4 linked regions of the Callithrix jacchus genome follow. The protein of the gene in region 1 purifies or fractionates together with the protein of each later gene. This does not show direct contact. Links are inferred from orthologs where the notes say so. Each region holds a gene or a part of one and is shown on either strand. Other genes may lie near its edges.

What was found.
Region 2: the proteins of CSNK2A2 (region 1) and HAGHL purify together in Homo sapiens (affinity purification with mass spectrometry; 4 studies listed by BioGRID and IntAct, counting the BioPlex papers as one, with this or other methods). This does not show direct contact. The link is inferred for Callithrix jacchus from reciprocal best matches to the Homo sapiens genes CSNK2A2 and HAGHL.
Region 3: the proteins of CSNK2A2 (region 1) and ZC3H4 purify together in Homo sapiens (affinity purification with mass spectrometry; 3 studies listed by BioGRID and IntAct, with this or other methods). This does not show direct contact. The link is inferred for Callithrix jacchus from reciprocal best matches to the Homo sapiens genes CSNK2A2 and ZC3H4.
Region 4: the proteins of CSNK2A2 (region 1) and GPATCH2 purify together in Homo sapiens (affinity purification with mass spectrometry; 6 studies listed by BioGRID and IntAct, counting the BioPlex papers as one, with this or other methods). This does not show direct contact. The link is inferred for Callithrix jacchus from reciprocal best matches to the Homo sapiens genes CSNK2A2 and GPATCH2.

What each region holds. Positions count from the first base shown.
Region 1 is NC_133521.1:16,079,386-16,083,598, forward strand, and holds the start of CSNK2A2 (casein kinase II subunit alpha'), read right to left. Parts: upstream 2,801-4,213; 5' UTR 2,431-2,800; coding exon 2,327-2,430; intron 1,884-2,326; exon of another isoform or gene 1,710-1,883; intron 1,535-1,709; coding exon 1,423-1,534; intron 1-1,422.
Region 2 is NC_133513.1:2,984,215-2,988,235, reverse strand, and holds HAGHL (hydroxyacylglutathione hydrolase-like protein), read right to left. Parts: upstream 2,801-4,021; 5' UTR 2,767-2,800; intron 2,552-2,766; 5' UTR 2,428-2,551; coding exon 2,323-2,427; intron 1,955-2,322; coding exon 1,890-1,954; intron 1,790-1,889; coding exon 1,482-1,789; coding exon of another isoform or gene 1,403-1,481; coding exon 1,302-1,402; intron 1,168-1,301; coding exon 1,066-1,167; coding exon of another isoform or gene 991-1,065; exon of another isoform or gene 984-990; coding exon of another isoform or gene 966-983; coding exon 886-965; exon of another isoform or gene 852-885; intron 710-851; coding exon 541-709; 3' UTR 297-540; downstream 1-296. Other genes in the region: CCDC78 (coiled-coil domain-containing protein 78), read left to right, coding at 3,494-3,598, 3,785-3,904, 3,989-4,021. UniProt on the Homo sapiens protein: Hydrolase acting on ester bonds.
Region 3 is NC_133523.1:41,071,301-41,075,574, forward strand, and holds the start of ZC3H4 (zinc finger CCCH domain-containing protein 4), read right to left. Parts: upstream 2,801-4,274; 5' UTR 2,786-2,800; coding exon 2,354-2,785; intron 2,143-2,353; exon of another isoform or gene 1,972-2,142; coding exon of another isoform or gene 1,799-1,971; intron 1,181-1,798; coding exon 1,119-1,180; intron 1,052-1,118; exon of another isoform or gene 887-1,051; coding exon of another isoform or gene 864-886; intron 390-863; exon of another isoform or gene 261-389; intron 1-260. UniProt on the Homo sapiens protein: RNA-binding protein that suppresses transcription of long non-coding RNAs (lncRNAs). LncRNAs are defined as transcripts more than 200 nucleotides that are not translated into protein.
Region 4 is NC_133520.1:11,521,156-11,525,240, forward strand, and holds the start of GPATCH2 (G patch domain-containing protein 2), read left to right. Parts: upstream 1-1,285; 5' UTR 1,286-1,404; coding exon 1,405-1,460; intron 1,461-2,368; exon of another isoform or gene 2,369-2,449; intron 2,450-3,711; exon of another isoform or gene 3,712-3,890; intron 3,891-4,085. Other genes in the region: spermatogenesis-associated protein 17-like, read right to left, coding at 930-997. UniProt on the Homo sapiens protein: Enhances the ATPase activity of DHX15 in vitro.

The DNA.
Region 1 (4,213 bases):
TCTTGCAATTCTGCTCCTTCATCACTAGGCTAGGATGTATTGAGTGATGGAGTTGATCATTTTTCTGAAAGGTGATTACCAGAAAGCTAACATTGACCCCTCACATTAAACAGGGATTACCTATACAGCTGCCCTAACACACAGAAACAGCTTTTCAATACCACATTCTTAGTCCACAGAACCTCTGCAAAAGGGCCACACTGGAAATCACATGTATACAAAAGTGCTTACATTACTCTTCCATCTTCTCAATCTCTCACTGAATGACACGTGCCCACATGAAATAATCTGGCAATAATGAGGACCCATCAAAGATTCTACCAATTACTTTTTACCACACCCTATAAAACATTATTAAAGCTACACAATTAATCTTTTACCTGAAGGAAAATTTAGCCGACCCTTCATGCTCATTAAAATCATCTTCATCAAAGAGATAACAAAAGCACAGCATTATCAAACTGAGATCGCTAAACCATATGTTAAGAGTTTTGTTCCAGTGATTACTTTAGAAATCATAAGTGAATTCTATATTTTTACTAGCTGATAAGCAACAAAGGCTCTCTGGCTTTCTAACAAGGCTTCTCAGCCCTACTAGTGCACTATATCCACGCCACCTGAAACTTTACTGCCAAAGAAGAAAAAACAAGTGATTATCCACTAAGGAATTTCCTTCAACTTGGGCTCGCAATACATCTCTGAAGTCACTCCAGTTTTGTCCAGCTTTCTTTATGGAATAAGGTAGATCACGCACCAAGAGTAACAAACAGTGCTCAAGGAGACCTGAAATTGAGAATGGCTTTTTGGTCTTTTGAATACCTATTTATTTTCTAACAAATGGAGCCCTTTTGGAATTTCTGCTTTAGGCACCTATAATTTACATTTTAGAACACCTTCCTGAACTTAAGAGTTGGGCTTAGATTTGTGACCAGTCTGCACATTTCCTTGAAAGTTCACAGGAAAATGGGGTGGAAAAAGAAGTAATGAAGGGTCATCAGAGAAGTAAAATTTGAGTGTGGGCTGGGCACAGTGGCTCATGCTTGTAACCCCAGCAACTTTGGGAAGCCTGCAAGGAGTCGTTCTGGAGGACTGCTTGAGCTCAGGAGTTTAAGACCAGCCTGGGCAACATGACCAGACCCTGTCTGTACAAAAAAATTTTTTTAAATAGCTGGGCATGATGGCATGCACCTGTAGTCCCAGCTACTTGGGAGGCTGAGAAGGGAGGATCACTTGAGCCCAGGAGTTGAAGGCTGCAGTGAACCATAATCTGCACTCCAGCCTGGGTTACAGAGTGAGACTCTGACTCTAAATAAGTAATTAAATTCAAGCTTGCACTGCCCATTCTAGAATGTGACTGGGGTAGCTTACATCCTTTTGCCCTGTGGGGGAACAAATGTTATTTATCACTCATAGGACACTCACCTTGAGGATTTTTACAACCACTCTCTCATTGTTGGTGATGTTAATGGCCTCAAATACTTCACTATATTTTCCCCGACCAAGTTTTCGAACCAGTTGGTAATCATCTTGATTACTGTAAAAGGTAAGAGACAGACACACATAAATGCCAGGACTGGGGGTTAGCCAAGCCTATGCCCACTATACACGTCATCCAGCCGCTTCCGCCAGGCAAACACTTGGAAGTGTCTACACATCACGTCACAACTCATTCCCTAAATGAAAGCCACGACGTAATCTTGGCTCCCTTCACTCTGCAGAGCTCCTAACCTAACTGGTCTCTCCTAACTTGGGAAGATGGGGTAGAAAGGCAACGCTCTGAGCCAATCCAGAGGGGCGAACAAAGCACCCGTCCTGAAGGCCTAGAGGGTGCCCCCTCTGCCCCGCGGCTTCACAGCACCTGCTTCCCGTTTCACACCCTGAAGGTAGACAATCCCTGTTTTAAAAATGTGGACGTCTTTAAGAAATTTCCTCCCACTACCTCATCTCAGAAAACCGAAAAGGCAGAGAATTTTAATAGCTCCAGAGGACAGCTGTTGACTTCCCACCCTAGTGGAAACCCAAAAGTGTGAGAAGGGCTGCTCCCTCACTTCCACCCAGCGCCGATCCGTGCACCCCACACTTCTCTCCGAGTAAAAAAATCATTCCTTGGGGGAAAGGGGTGCGCAAAGCGGGGAGAAAGGGACGAAACCGGGGTAAAGGGGAGGGAAGAGGAAGACGAGGACATGTGCGAGAGCGGGACCTCTGTCTCCAGCGGGGCCGCGGAGGGATCGGCGGGAGACACCACCCCGGCCGAGTGCGGGTCGCGGGGGGCGGCCGGGCGGAGACAGGGGTCAGCGGGCCCGGCGGGGGACGGCGGCGGCTTTACCCCCAGCTCGGGACGTGAGACTCGTAGTCCCAGTACTCGCGGCTCCTCAGGCTGTTCACCTCGGCGTAGACCCGGGCCCTGCTGCCCGCGGCCGGGCCGGGCATGGCGGGCGGGACCGGGGGGCGGCGCGGGGCGCAGAGGGTGGCGGCGGCGGCGCGGCGGAGGGCGCGGGGCGGCGGGCGGAGGAGGCGGCTGGCCGCCGGGCTCTGGAGAAGGAGGAGGAGGAGCGCGGTAGCGGGCGGCCGCGCCAGGCCGGGCCCGCGGGGGCGGGCGGGCTGGGGGCGCGGGGGGCGCCGGCCGAGCCGGCCCGGCCCTGGAGCGGCCGGCGGAGCGGCGGGGCGGGCGGCGCTCGCGCTCCGCGGCGGTCTCCGCTCGGCTCGCGGCCCCCAGGAGGCGGCGGCGGCGGCACCGGCAGCGGCAGCCACCGGCCGGGAAAGGGGCAGCGGCGGCAGCAGCGGAGAAGAAGGAGGAGAGGAGGAGGAGGCGGAGGAAACCCGGAAAAGGGGCCGCGCTCACGGGGAGCGGCCGCCGCCCGGCCTGGGGCCGCCCAGGCTCACAGCGCCCCCTGCAGCGCGGGGGGACCCGCCGGGCGGTGCCGACCCCGCCCCGGCCCCACCCCAGCACGCCCCGCCCCCTCCCCCGCGCCCTCCCCCACCTTGGCCCTCCCGCTGCCCCAGGCCGGGCTGTCCAAATCGCCTCACCCTCCGGCTGGCCTTACCTCACGCCACAGGAGCCCCCACTTCCACTGGCCGTTGCCTTAGAACCCTCCCCTTCGAGTCCCGACCCTTTCAAGATTGTCGGTGGAGACCCTGCCCCCAGCTCTGCAGTTGCCCAGCTTTTACCCCCACACACCTCCCATACCCTCTTCTCGCCCAAACTGTCAAGTCTCTCTCCAGGGCCTCGCTCAAACCTCAGAACCTCTCCCACCTCAATACTTCTCCCTTCCCCCGAGACGTACCCCTCCTTCCCCCTCTGGACCCTTCCCTGTTCCCGCAGACTCCTCAGTCCCCAAGACTTCCCACCCTCTTCATTCAGAGTCCTCCTCACAAAACCCTTATACATTTCCCCCAAAAGCCCCTCCAGAGCCTTCCCTGAGAACCCTCTGAATACCCACTTTGGTCACTTGGTTAAGCTGGAGTCGGCCAGGTTGTGCCACCGCAAAGTTACAATTTTTCCCTTTGTGATTAGTAAGTCGCTTGTGGGGAGAGACGTTGAGAGTCTGTAAATCTCCTGTTTTTGTTGAGGAGGAGGGAGAGCAGGAGAATGTAAATTTGACCTGAAGGGACAGACTGAGATTGGGTATGCACCGGGATGGGTGGCCAGCTGAGCTGGCCTGGCTTCCAGTGTTGCCTGCGGCCCTGGACACTCCTCTCTTTTGACATTCTAGGCCCTTCTTCTGACTTTCTTTCTCATCCAGCATCCTTTCGCGACACAACCTCTTCACCCAGTCCAGGTTGCTCTGATTCCAATCCCTTTTCACATTCTGTTTTCTGGATGAAACTCTGGGCCTTCCTCCTTGACAAAGCTAAGAGCACAGACTGTGGAGTCAGATCTATCCAGTACTGCTGCTTACAAGCTGTGTGACCTTGGGCCAATTATTCAACCTCTCTGTTTCACAGATTCTACAGCATAAAATCAGTAATAGCACCCACTTCACAGGGCTGCAAGGAGAACTAAACAAAATAAACCATGTGAAACACTTAGGATGATGTTCAATATTAAGATACTATATGTCGAATATTATCATTACCAGACACAGGGCCTTGCTCCTATCACTCTTCCCTCCTTGAGACCACCACACGTCCATCTTTCAGTTCCTTCCATCCTCTAAGCTTGACTAGGAGCCACCCCCAACTCCTCCTCCCCACGTTCCCAAGGGTGACTCCT
Region 2 (4,021 bases), on another chromosome or scaffold:
CACCCAGGTGCATGAGAGGCTTCAGCCTGTCCTGGGGTTGCCTGAGACGGAACAAGATGGGTTCTTACCCCCAACTTCTAGAGGCTTCCCCTGAAGCTCTGCGAAGAAGGTGGGAGACAGAGCTGGTCCTGCCGGGCCCCCTGGAAAGCTCCGAGGGGCGAGCTAAGGACACCAGCAGGCACCAGTGGCTGCATCACCCCCCAGCCAGGTCCCCACCAGGCCCGTCTCCCAGCGCTTACGTCGAATAAAGGCACCCTCCTCGATGCGCCTCTGAAAACAGCTCCTCCTGGCACGTCTGCCAGCACTGACAACGGCTTTATTCGTGGTTCAGAAGCCCCATGCATCCCACTTCCCAAACACCCAGGTCTCCGGGCCCCCACGGGCCCCGCAGAGTGGTCACGCATGTCCACCCTCTGAGGCTGGGCAGCTGGCAGGCCAGAGCCTCTTAGAAGCTTCCAGAGGTGGCCCTTGCGTGAGTCCAGCTGGCTGAGGTCATGAAGAGGCATGTGAGACCCAGCCCTGTGAGGGTCTGTGGGGGGCTCACTTGTTGGGGGCTGCACTCAGGAGCCCCCACTGCAGCGCAAGGAGGGCCCGTGCCTGTGGCTGCCTCGGCTCGCCTGCCTGTTCGAAGCGTGCCCGCTCCTCGCAGAGCACCTCCAGGACGTCGGCGGGGCCCGCCTTGCCCGTGAACTTGCGCACCGGCTCCTCTCTGCGGGAGGGGTGCAGTGAGGCGTGGGGCCCACCGCTGACGCGGGAGGGTGGGCAGGAAGGCACTTAATGAGCAGCCTCCCCCGAGCCAGGGATGCTCAGCCCTCCACGAGGCCCCCAGATGCCTTCCTAAGGGTCCGCACGCCTGCCGAGGCCCCAGACAACGGCCATACTCACGCCACCCGCAGGAAGGGGTTGTAGAGGCGCTCCTCGCCCAGAGTCGAGGGCACTGTGGGCACATCGTCCTCGTCCCTCTTCTGGAGTGACCACAGGCCCTGGTCATCATTGGGGCTTGTCTGAGAGCCCCCCAGAGCCCGTCCTCCCCCACCCTCCAGCCGAGGCGGGAAGGGGCCGTGCCTTAGCCCAGGACAGCTTGGCTCTCACGTGGTCGTTGCAGGGCTCCACTTTCTGCGCAAACTCCAGGTTGCTGAGCGTGTGCTCGTGGCCGCAGAACACCTTCTGGAGGAAGAGCCTCGGTGAGCGCGCACGCTCTGCCCTCTGGTGGGCATTCACTCTGCACCCCGGCACAGTGCGGGTGCGGAGCGTGGGGGCTGTGCCCACGGGAAAGGAGGGGAGGGCCCAGGCCCGCTCACCGTCTCGGGGGGCAGGGTGCTCAGCTCGGCCAGGCTCTGGTACATCTGCTGGGCGCTGCCCTCCAGGCACGAGCCGCAGCCGGCCACCAACAGCGCGTCCCCTGGCGGGGGAGGGCGGGTCAGAGCAGAGGGGGCGGGGCCGGCGGGAGGCGGGGTGGGCGCGCTCCGCGCTGCGGGTACCCGAGAACAGGGCGGGTGGGTCCGGGCAATCATCCTCCCACAGGAAGTAGCTCATGTGGCCGGAGGTGTGGCCGGGCGTCAGGAGGCAGCGCACGTGGATGGCCCCAAACTGCGGCGGAGGAGCAGGCGGACCCATGAGGGCGGGCGGTCCCGGGGTACCCACCCCGCCCTCCCGGGGGCGCGCGCTCACCCGCAGCTCCTCGCCGTGCGCCAGCCTGCGCGTCAGCGAGAAGATGCGCTCGTCCGCGCCCAGCACCGCCAGCCCGGGACGCAGCCGCGCCAGCTCCGGGTTTCCCCGCGCGTGGTCCCTGCAGACGGGCGGGCGGGGCCAGGTCAGGTCCGGGTGGGGCTGGGCGGCGTCCTCGCGCCTCCCCCCGCCCCGCCCCGCCCCGCCCCGCCGGCGCTCACCAGTGATGGTGGGTGGTCAGCACGGCGGTCAGGGACACCCCCTCCCGGCCCACGATCTCCAACAACTGAAAGGGACGGGAGTTGTCATGACACAGACGGTCCCAGTGGGCCATTCCCTCCCTCTCCATATCGGGGCGCCAGGTCCGCCGCGCTCAGCGCCCCAGGCCGGCCAGGACCCTGGGCAGCGCCGGAGAGCGGGGACCCAGCGGGCAGTGACTGCGCCCCTGCACCTGCGGGGACGGCCAGGCAGCAGGGGAAGGGCGGAGGCCAGAGGCGCCCTAACTTTAGGGAGCCACGAGATGATGGAGCAACCCCAGCCGCCAGTGACGCCCGGAGAGCAGAGCACGTGGGGACCGCTCATGCCAGGGGGTCAGGGAGGCTCTCGGGGGCGGGGGGCACGGCCGTGTCCCTGCGGCCCGCGGCCTGCCCTCACCCTCTTGGGCACGGCCACGTCCACGGCCACCGCCTCGCGCGTGAGCTCCTCGATGACCAGGTACATGTAGTTGTCCTCAAGCACGGGGATGACCTTGACCTTCATGGCCACGGAGCTTGGCCACCGGTGCCTGTTCCAAAACAGGCCCCCCAGGCCACGGTGCCCCTTCAGGGCGGGGCCCGCTCTCCACACCTTAGGAAGGGCTGTGTGAGGCGGGTCGGTCAACACGCTGCGGGGGCAGAGGAGGAGGCTGGAGGCTCCCCAGGAACTCCCCGGCACTCGCGTGGAATTCCACGCACCCGGCTCCTTCGAGAGCGGAACCCGGCCCCTCCCGACCCCGCCCCCAGCCCGAGCCCCGGCCCCCGAAGGCCCCGCCTTCCTCCCAGGCCCCGCCCCTCGGGCCCCCGACCCCCGGCAGACGCATTTCCCCGCCGCCCGCCTCACCCGCACTGCTGCGCTGACAGCCCGAAGGGCGGACAGATGGAGGCGGGGCCTTGGCCGCCGGTCACGGGGTCCGGACGGAGTGCGGCGTTGGGCTTGGGAGGCGCCAACCGCCCCACTCCGCGGACTCGCCTTGCCTCCGCCCGGCCGGGATCCTGCGCGTAGTGAGACCACAAGGCCTGCCAGGGCTGCTTGCGTGCCAGGTGGGGCGCCGCGCGCAGGTTCTGACCCCTCCGGGCCCGGCGCTGGCACCTCCTCCAGGAAGCCCTCAGGAGCCCGGGCTGAGTCAGTCGGTTCCGAGTTTTCTGTTCCCAGTGGGGACGTCTGCGCCCCCACTTCTCAGGCCGGAGGTGCAGAGATCTGTCCAGTTTGTTCACCTGCCCGTCCCGGGGCTCAGCCAGCACTGCAAGGTTCACAGAAGGTGTCCGATAAGTGTGGCCCAGGGCACCCTGCGTGCGGGTAGCGCGCTCCGTTCTGCGTGCTTGTCGCCGCGCCCGGGTTGAGTGCTTTCACGCACGTGGTTCCATATGCACAGGGGAGCGCTGGGCCGCATTCCCCAGAGGGGGAAACGTTGGCAAGGAGAGGAAGAGCTGTCCTTCCTCCTCCACAACCTTGGGTCTCGCCCTGCCCCTTTGGGCAGGGCCCTGGCAGTTTCCTGGGACCAACAGAAGCCTTGGCAACGCGCACAGCAGTGCTTGTGGTGGTGGCAGCAGCCATAGGGAGGCCAGGCATGGAGGTGGTACCTGGCTCGGAGCAGGCCAGGGTCCCCTCACCTATGGAGCATGCAGCCACCACAGGCCCCAGGCCAGGACCTCCCCTTCGGCAGGTGGAGAATGTGAGTCCTCAGGGAAGCTGCTGCTCCTTCCACGGGACTGGAGTCTGCCCTTTCCCGCAGAGGCCAGGAGGGTGCAGGTCCCTGTACTGTGGGTCTGATCTCAGCTAGGGGAAGGACTTTTGCAGCTCAGCCAGGCGGGAAGCAGGGCTGGTGATCGCATGGGAGTGAGACCACAGCCCTCTCCAGGTTGTGCCACGAGCCAAGGACTGCCTGCCAGGAGCTCCTGGGGGCACCGCAGCCTGGGCCACCAGCCTGGGGGCAGAGGTTCCACCAGGTCTAGCGCTGAGTGAGGAGCAGCAGCTGCAGGTGGGTGTGGGCGCCCAGGGTGCTGTGAGGAGGGAGGGTGCTGGCAGACCCCACAGATGCCACCTCTCACCTGGCCACCCGCAGATCTCCAAGGAGCTCGTGGACATCCAGATCACA
Region 3 (4,274 bases), on another chromosome or scaffold:
GTTGGAGAGGACCAGGGTTCTCTCTCAAAGTATGCCAGGGATCAAAAGTGGGAAAGAGGGAAAATGCAACTTCAACGTGTTTTGTCTTTTAACGGAACTGATGCTTGTAAAACACATCGGAAGTACGGTGTTTGGTTCTGCAAGTCATTTCTGTTGGTTTTTTTTCCTTGTTAACGTGTAGGACGGGGGACTGGGGGCTGGAGGAGGTGTTCCCTCCAACATGACTGGGCGTGTAACACGTTTGCATCAACTTTTCACAGACATGTGCTTTCGAACAAAGGAGCAGTGGAGACAGGCAGAGATGGGGGCTTGACAGAGTTCACAGATTTTGTGCTTCAACAGTACTTTACAAATGACTTGCTCAATTTTAAGGTCCATCACCACAAGAGACATTGGAGTAAAACGAGAAAATTGGAGCTACTTGAACCAATCTTTTTGGGGGGGGAGGGAGAACCATTAACTTGAATACATGTATCATAAATCAAATTCAGTAAGCTTGTCTCCTATAAATGGACTTGAAGTATCCACTTTCTTCAAAGATGAAGGCTGGAGACAAAGCAATGGATTGAAATGGAAAGAGGGACGCCAGAGCCTGAAAACACAGGCCTTTTACATCGGTTTTTGTCATGTTACAGTAGCACACTTTTTTTTTTTTTTTGAGAAAACTGTGTACATCAAATTTAAAAAATTAAACACTGAAAGGATGTGCAAGTATAAAAGGGCTCAACAGGGTTAGAATCCTGATTCCAACACATCAATTCACTCTCAAGCATCACTTTGGTCTAAAGGCGAGGAAGAAGGCAGGCAGGAAAGGGAGAAAAAGAGGGAGATCATTGAATTACTCAATAAAAGAGGCTACTTACCATCCCAACCCATTGTAAGACATACACTTCTGACATAAGAGAACTCCTTAGAGGTCGAATAAAGCGTGTAAGCACCTTTGAGTAATGCACCTGCCCCCGGAGAGGGGGCCGGAAGCCCGACGTGGGCTTAGCGAACAGACCTTTGCTAATCTGTTTATTTCCTTGAACTGGAGTCGGGCTGCGATGGGCTGCGATTCCCAGGACGATACATTTAATTAGAACAAAACAGAAAAAAAAAATGTTGTAAAAGCTCACCAAACTGCTGCACTTGTGTCTCTGAATGTGGGTGGCATTTCTTTTAAAAGGCAAAGTATGGTCTGTGAAGGAGAAAGGGGAAAGGGGAGGGAGGAGTGGGGAGAAGGGGCAGTGGAGTCTGGCAGGGGGAGCCCTGGCTGAAACCCCCGACTAAGGGAGGTTCCTGAGGGGCTCCCCAGGCAGGGCTGCGACGGGGTAGCCATCTGTCCAGCACGTTCTCTTCCCCTCTCCACCCCCACTCCTTCCAAGACTGTCTTGCCTGCCGACCGAAACCCACCGTCCGTGTCCAAACCTACTCTCCAGCCGCCTCTTCTGCCCCACCAGGAAACAGTGGGCGAACCCTGCACCCCAACTCCTTCTGCTCGAGCAGGGGAAGGAAACAGGGCCCCAACCTCGCCCTGAAACGCGCCGAGCTGTCCCCATTATCACCCGCCAGCCAGAGAAGGGCGGGAGGGGGGCCTCGTTTCGCACTTAGGGAAGGGGGCGCTTCCTTTCACCCCCTGCCAAAGCACAAGGAAATCGCCTTTTCTCTTCCGGAAGAGATGGTGCCCCATTTTACCCCGAAAGAGGGGGGAACCACAGGAGAAAGCGCGGGACCAACTTCCTCTCCCCTACAAGGCAGGGAAACCAAACCTTCCCCCCTCCACAAAAAAGGCTAAGAGCCCTCTCACGTCACCTACCTACGAAAATCGAGAGGACCCCTGCCCTTTAGCAAAAACATGGGGAAGAGTCTTCTCTCAAAAAATAAGCAGGGGTTTTCATCAGAAGGGCTGGAGAGGCATCTCTCCCCCTCCCCAATTCTGCATTCTAGGGAATAGCTAGAAAACACCTCCCGCCAAAAATTAAGTGCCATACCCACCCAAAGGACCCTCCATTAGAAGGATGAAGAAAGGACCTGAACCCCCACTTTCTGCCTCCTAAAAAAGCTAGGGTACCTATCATCCAAGTAGGGCAGGGTGTGCCCCCCCAGGAGAAAGGATACTGCCGGGGGCTGGGAGACCCCCAACCCCAAACCCCTAAGAGCGGGGCTGTTGCTGGAGATCCCCCTAAAAAGGGTCCGGAGCCCCTCCCCCATCCCCTTCCCCGAAGTCAGGCGACGGGCAGGCGGGCCCGTGGCTGCCAGCTCCGGGCGCAGGGGCAGCCAGGACCCCCGTGGGCCTCCGCAGCACCCCCCCTGGCGCCCCCTCCCCAGGGCGGGCGGGCGGGCGCGGGGGGTCCGAGGGGCGCCTCCTCACCTTCCCCTCAGCATGGCGCCCAAAAAAGACAGAGCGAGAGCGAGGGAGAGCGGGCGAGCGCCGCGAGGGGGGGGAAACGCATGAGGCCGGGAGAGAAAGCAAGCGAGAAAGAGCGAGCGAGCTAGCGATCGAGAGACACCCACCGACCCCGCCCTTCCTCCTCCTCCTCCTCCTCCTCCGCGGCCCGGCCCAACATGGCGGTCGCCCCCCTTCCTCCTCCTCCTTTTCCTCCCCCCGGGGACGCCAGCCCCGGCCCGGCCGGGGGCCTGACCTGTCGTCAGGGAGCGGGAGGCGGTGGTGGAGGAGGTGCGGGGTGGCCGGGCGGGCGTCGGGGGAACACGGAGGAGGCGAAGGCGTTGATGGCGGCGGCGGCGATGGCGGCGGCGGCGACTCTGATGGCGGCGGCGGGGGGGTCCCGGGCGCGGCCTCCATAGTTCCTTTGGGGGGGAGGGGATGTTAATGCACGAAAAAGGACTGCTTGGGCGTGGCGGGAGGGGCACACTTCTGCTCGGAGGGCTCCTGATGGGAATGGGGTATATATTTTTTCGGTTTCGGAATCACCTCTGCGCCGACCTCCGCGTAGGCCGCTCGGCCTAGGCCTCGGCGGACCGCTCGCCGCCTGCTTTCTCCGCAGCCCACCCTTGCGGTCACTCGCTCACTGGCGCGGGGCCCTCATCGGGGCGAGAGCTCCCCGCACGCACCCCCGCGGGCCCGGGGACGGGAGATCCGGGAGACACGGACACTGGTGGGTGGTTGGATGTAATTAGCGCGGGCCGCGCGCGATGGAGCAAGCGAAGGGTAGGGGGAGAAGAGGAGAGCGAGCGAGCGAGGGGTGGGGGGTTAAAAAAAAAAAAAAAAGGATTTGAGGTAGAGAGGAGACGGGCCGACTGTCTCCCTGTCTGCTGCCCCGGGTGCCCCGGCTGCCCGGCCCCCGCCGCAATCAGGAATTGACACAAAATGGCGACTCGGCCCGGACCAGCCAAGAGGCTGAGGCGGGAGGAAGGGTGAGGTGGGAGGGGGAACTGGGAGGCGGGAGGCGGAGGCCGTGTCACGTGCAGGAGAGGGGAAGAGACCGCTTGCCCGAAGGCCGGCGGAAAGAGCCGAAGGTAAAGGGCGAGGCCGACGGGAGGCGGAAATAGCCGAAAGGAGCTGAGCGAGAGACAGGAGACGGCGGGGGAGAGTCGGAAAGAGCCGAAGGTGCTGATAGGGGTGGGGCTAGAGGGAGCAAGAGAAACCTAGGGCAGCCAGAAATAGCCTAAGCCGTTCGGGACCGGGGAAGGAGGAGAAACTCTGATGGTCCGGAAAGAGCCGAAGACAGTGTCCTGGTGGGTGGCAGGAGGTGGAAGCAGTCAGGATAATGCGATTAAGCGAATTAGCTGAACTGGCGGGGCTGGAGGGTCTATTAAGAGAATAAACCACTTTCAGAAAGTCGCCCGAGAGCAAGAGAGAAGAACCGAAAATTGCTAGCTGAAGGAAGGCGGGAAGAGCCGATAGTTTTAGGTGGGAGAATGGGAGGGAAGGAATTCAGGCTGTGGAGAAAAAATAAAAATAACCGAAAGCCGGAGGCCAGGTGCCAAGAGTCGGAGGTTTCCGGAGAAGAGGCGATGAAGCCCAGCCGCCCGGGGTGACGTCACTCAACAACTCAGTCGATGACGTCATCCTCGGAGGCGAGAGGGGCGGGGCTTGGTAGGCCCTCAGGGAAGTTTAAGGACCTGGGGTGTGGGGCCCTTCGAAGGCTCTCAAAAAGCGAAGGTGGAAACACTGCTGGTGACATAAGACTGTGTACCAAACAAATCTTTTGACCCTCACAACAGTCGTAAGATAACCTGCTGTTATACCCATTTGCAGACTGAAGTTCGGTGTTTAATTGGTTCAAGGTCATAGGATTAGTTCTAAAGAGTGCAGCAAGATTTTTTTTTTA
Region 4 (4,085 bases), on another chromosome or scaffold:
TACAGGCACGTGCCACCATGCCCTGCTCATTTTTTGTATTTTTTTTTTCTTTCTTTTTTTTGAGACGGAGTTTTGCTTTTGTTACCCAGGCTGGAGTGCAATGGCGCGATCTCGGCTCACCGCAACCTCCGCCTCCTGGGTTCAGGCAATTCTCCTGCCTCAGCCTCCTGAGTAGCTGGGATTACAGGCACGCGCCACCGTGCCCAGCTAATTTTTTGTATTTTTAGTAGAGACGGGGTTTCACCATGTTGACCAGGATGGTCTCAATCTGTTGACCTCGTGATCCACCCGCCTCGGCCTCCCAAAGTGCAGGGATTACAGGCTTGAGCCACCGCGCTCGGCTCATTTTTTGTATTTTTAGTAGAGACGGGGTTTCCAGGATGGTCTCGATCTGTTGAACTCGTCGTGATCCACCCGCCTCGGCCTCCCAAAGTGCTGGGATTACAGGCTTGAGCCACCGCGCCCGGCCTGATACTTTCATTTTAAAAAGGCAAATGAGTCAAAGAACAATTGAGTTCAGTGACGTTTGTGAAATCCTGGAGGCTCAAATCCTTAGGTAGATGGGGAGCAGTCGGAAACCAGTGGGCTAGTGAGCCAGGGTGAACCCCAGTCAGGGTATTGAACCTTGAACCCGAAGAACATAGGTTTCATCAAATCACAGAGTGGTGATATCGAAGAAAAACACTTTACAATTTTATCTATGCTGAGGGTTTCCCTAAATCCTCTCACACTGAGTATCTATGGCCCCTATCTATTTAGAATTTTGTTGTATGGTAATACAAACAAACGATTATGTTTCCAGCCCATTAAGGGGAGAATTGGGTGTTACTTAATGAATTAGGGAAATCGTTAATTGGAAACTCCCGCTGAGGAACAACTGATAGCAAGTTCTGCCAGCCCTTTACGCGATCCTTCTCTTTCTGACTTACCTGTTCCTAAAGTAGTACTCATTTCCTACAGTCAACGACCTAGCTTGCAGCCAGGCTAAAGTGGCCATGGTCTCTTGGCGTTGGCTTACAACTGCTGTGCCTACCGGTGTCCATGGTAACTGGGCTAAACCATAGCTCACTCCCGGGGGGGTTCCATTGTTTGCTCACTGCTCTTTTCTCTGACGCTATTTCGACTTTAAGAGTACTAAAAAGACAACTAAGAAATTTCTTTGCAGCACAAAAAGTTTAATTTATTTGTCTCTGTCTCTACTGCGAGTATGAGGAGGGGATTATAGGAAGGGAAAGCAGTAGGCGAGGAGAACTAATGGTTGCTCCAGGCATCCGGTTTCGGCCTCAGTCGGCTTCCGGAAGTTCATCTCAAAATGCTGAACTGTATTTTGCAAGTCGCCGGTGCTGTAGTAGTTGGAGTCTGTTCACGGGCCTGAGCCTGTGGCCAGGCTCTTGGGTGTCGTTAATGTTCGGGGCCGCCGGGCGCCAACCGATCGGAGCTCCAGCAGCCGGGAACAGCTGGTGAGTCTGGCGGCCCTGGGGAGGGGGAGGTCAGGGAAGGGTGTGATGGCCTGAGGCCGCTCCGCTGGACCTGGAATGGAAGCGGGAGGGAGCTGTGATGGATGGTCTGAAGACATCTAGGCCTTGCTCTCACTCATTCCTGAGATGCACGCAGTTTGAGGGAGCTTTTGAGAGTATGCCAAAAAATTGTGAAAGAGTACAGTAAATGTTTGCTGATTGCTTAGCAATATTTTGGAAGTCATGCTTCCTGTAATCCCAGGAGCGGTTTTATCTCCTCATTGATTGTTGACAAAACTAGGCACAGGAAGAATTTATCTTAATCTGGGCCTTATTCCCCACTCCTCTTTCAAAATTCACCAATTTATACTAAGTCTCTTGGAAGATAAGTTCAATAATGGAAAACACATCACTCACCCCCTTTTTTGGAGGGGGGAACCTACTTCCACCCTCTTGAACATTCTAAGTTCAAATGAGATGTGTATGGGGGTGTTCCAGGAACTAATTTTACAACCGTTAGGATTAAGTTTGGGGCTTGACTATGTCTATGGTATCATGTCACCAGTGCCACGTTAGAATAATATATTGCTTTGACTTTAAAAGATATTTTCACAAATTAATACACTTTGTCTTATGACAGCCCTGTGATACCAGAATATCAAAAGCACAGAATATCCAAGTGTCTTGTCCACAGTTGCCCTGTACATTTTAATCCTAGAGCTAGGATCTGGGTTTTGGGATTTCTAGTTGAATACTGTAATATCTGTCCTATTTTTCTCCCAAGCCCTTTTCTTCCAAACGTAACACAAGACAACCAGTGAAACAATCAATTTCCTACTGAAAACCTTAAACATAAAGTTTTGACCAACAGGTGAAAGAAATGTGGCTAAACAGTGCATGTTCATTCCTAGATTCTGCAAAAATTAGAACATGAGGAAGTCTAATAGTCTGTGATCTTCAAGAATTATTTTACATCACCTATCATTGCAAAGGTATCCAAAATCTTTTTAGTTAGGGCAGGTCATCCTGTAGTTAAGTTTATAATGAATATAGATTTGATTTTACTCTTTTTAAATTATCACATTTTCTAGTGAGAAAAGTAGGGAGCACTTTTTAAATGAACCAATTTTTAATGGTGTAACTAGCATAGAATGAACTGCATAATTCTTAAGTGCTTGATTTTATTAGTTTTGGCAATTGTATATACTTATATAACCACCACGCAAAACGAGATAATGGACTTGCCCATCATCCCACAGTTCCCTCTCAAGGATACCTTTCTTAATGTTTCACCATTCATTATCTTTGTAAATCAGGGAGATAAAGTGTCATCTGTAGATTGGTCTGCTCTTCCTAGGGCACTCTTGATTTGTAGGATAGGTGACTGCATCAGAAGAGGACTGATTCTCTCAACTTCTTCTGCCTTCCAAATCGTGATTATGTACTGAGAGAAACCTCCTTCAATTCTCTTTTAAAGGCTCTCTTGTCATACAACCATTTCCTATGGCACCAGAGTATAACAAAGTGGTAGCAGTTAGTATTTTTGAATGAAATTCTTAAAGTCATTCCTGTTTTGGCACAATGAACATGTTCCAAAAAACTGGAACTTTATTTTTTAGTCTGCCTGTATGACTATACAGTCATTCCAGATTCCTTAATGGAATTTTCTTTTTCATTAATTGGACAGATATTTACTATACAACATATATGTGTAATCCCAGTAATAAATTCCAGTCCCACTGGGAATACAGCTACTAAGCAGTTAACTAGGTGCCAGGTTTTACATGCATGTGTCGTCTCATGTAAATCCTTTGAGGTAGGTGTATCATTCTTTGTGTTTTAGATAAGGTGATGCAAAAGCAAAGATGGTTTAAGTAACTGGCCTAAGTGTATTGTATTTGCAGGATGATTCCAATATACCCCCCCCCCAAATTCTTAAATAACTTGTAGATTGCCTATGTCTCTGAATGAGATACAATATGTAAACTAGCAGTTATATGTCCAGATTTATTAACCAGTCTGGAATTTCTAACTTATTTAGCTCCCATCTTGACTTTCTCTTTTCTTTTTCATTTCTTTTCTTTTTTTTCTGAGAGAGAGTCTCACTCTGTTACCAGGCTGGAGTGCAGGGGTGCTGTCTAGGATCACTGCAGCATACACCTCCTGGGTTCAAGGGATTCTCCTGCCTCAGCCTCCTGAATAGCTGGGACTACAGGCACATGCCACGACACCCCGCTAATTTTTGTATTTTTAGTAGAGACAGGTTTTCACCATGTTGGCCAGGATGATCTCGATCTCTTTGACCTCATGATCTGCCTGCCTTGGCCTCCCAAAGTGCTGGGATTACAGGCGTGCACCCCCATGCCCAGCTCATCTTGACTTTTTCAACTTCTCTCCAATTTGGAGGTTGCTGTTTCAATTTTTAGGCACCAGGTGGATAAACGTAGGTAATTTCTTTACTCAACTATGGTATTCTGTTTTTTTTAACTTTGTTATGTGGCTTTGCTTTTAAAAAAAGCTGTTAAGATAAACTATATTGACTCTGGAGTTTTGTTTCTGTATTTTCATTCCTATTTGGTATTTTGATTTTATTGAAATCTGAAAAACTGAAAAATCTGAAATCTGAAA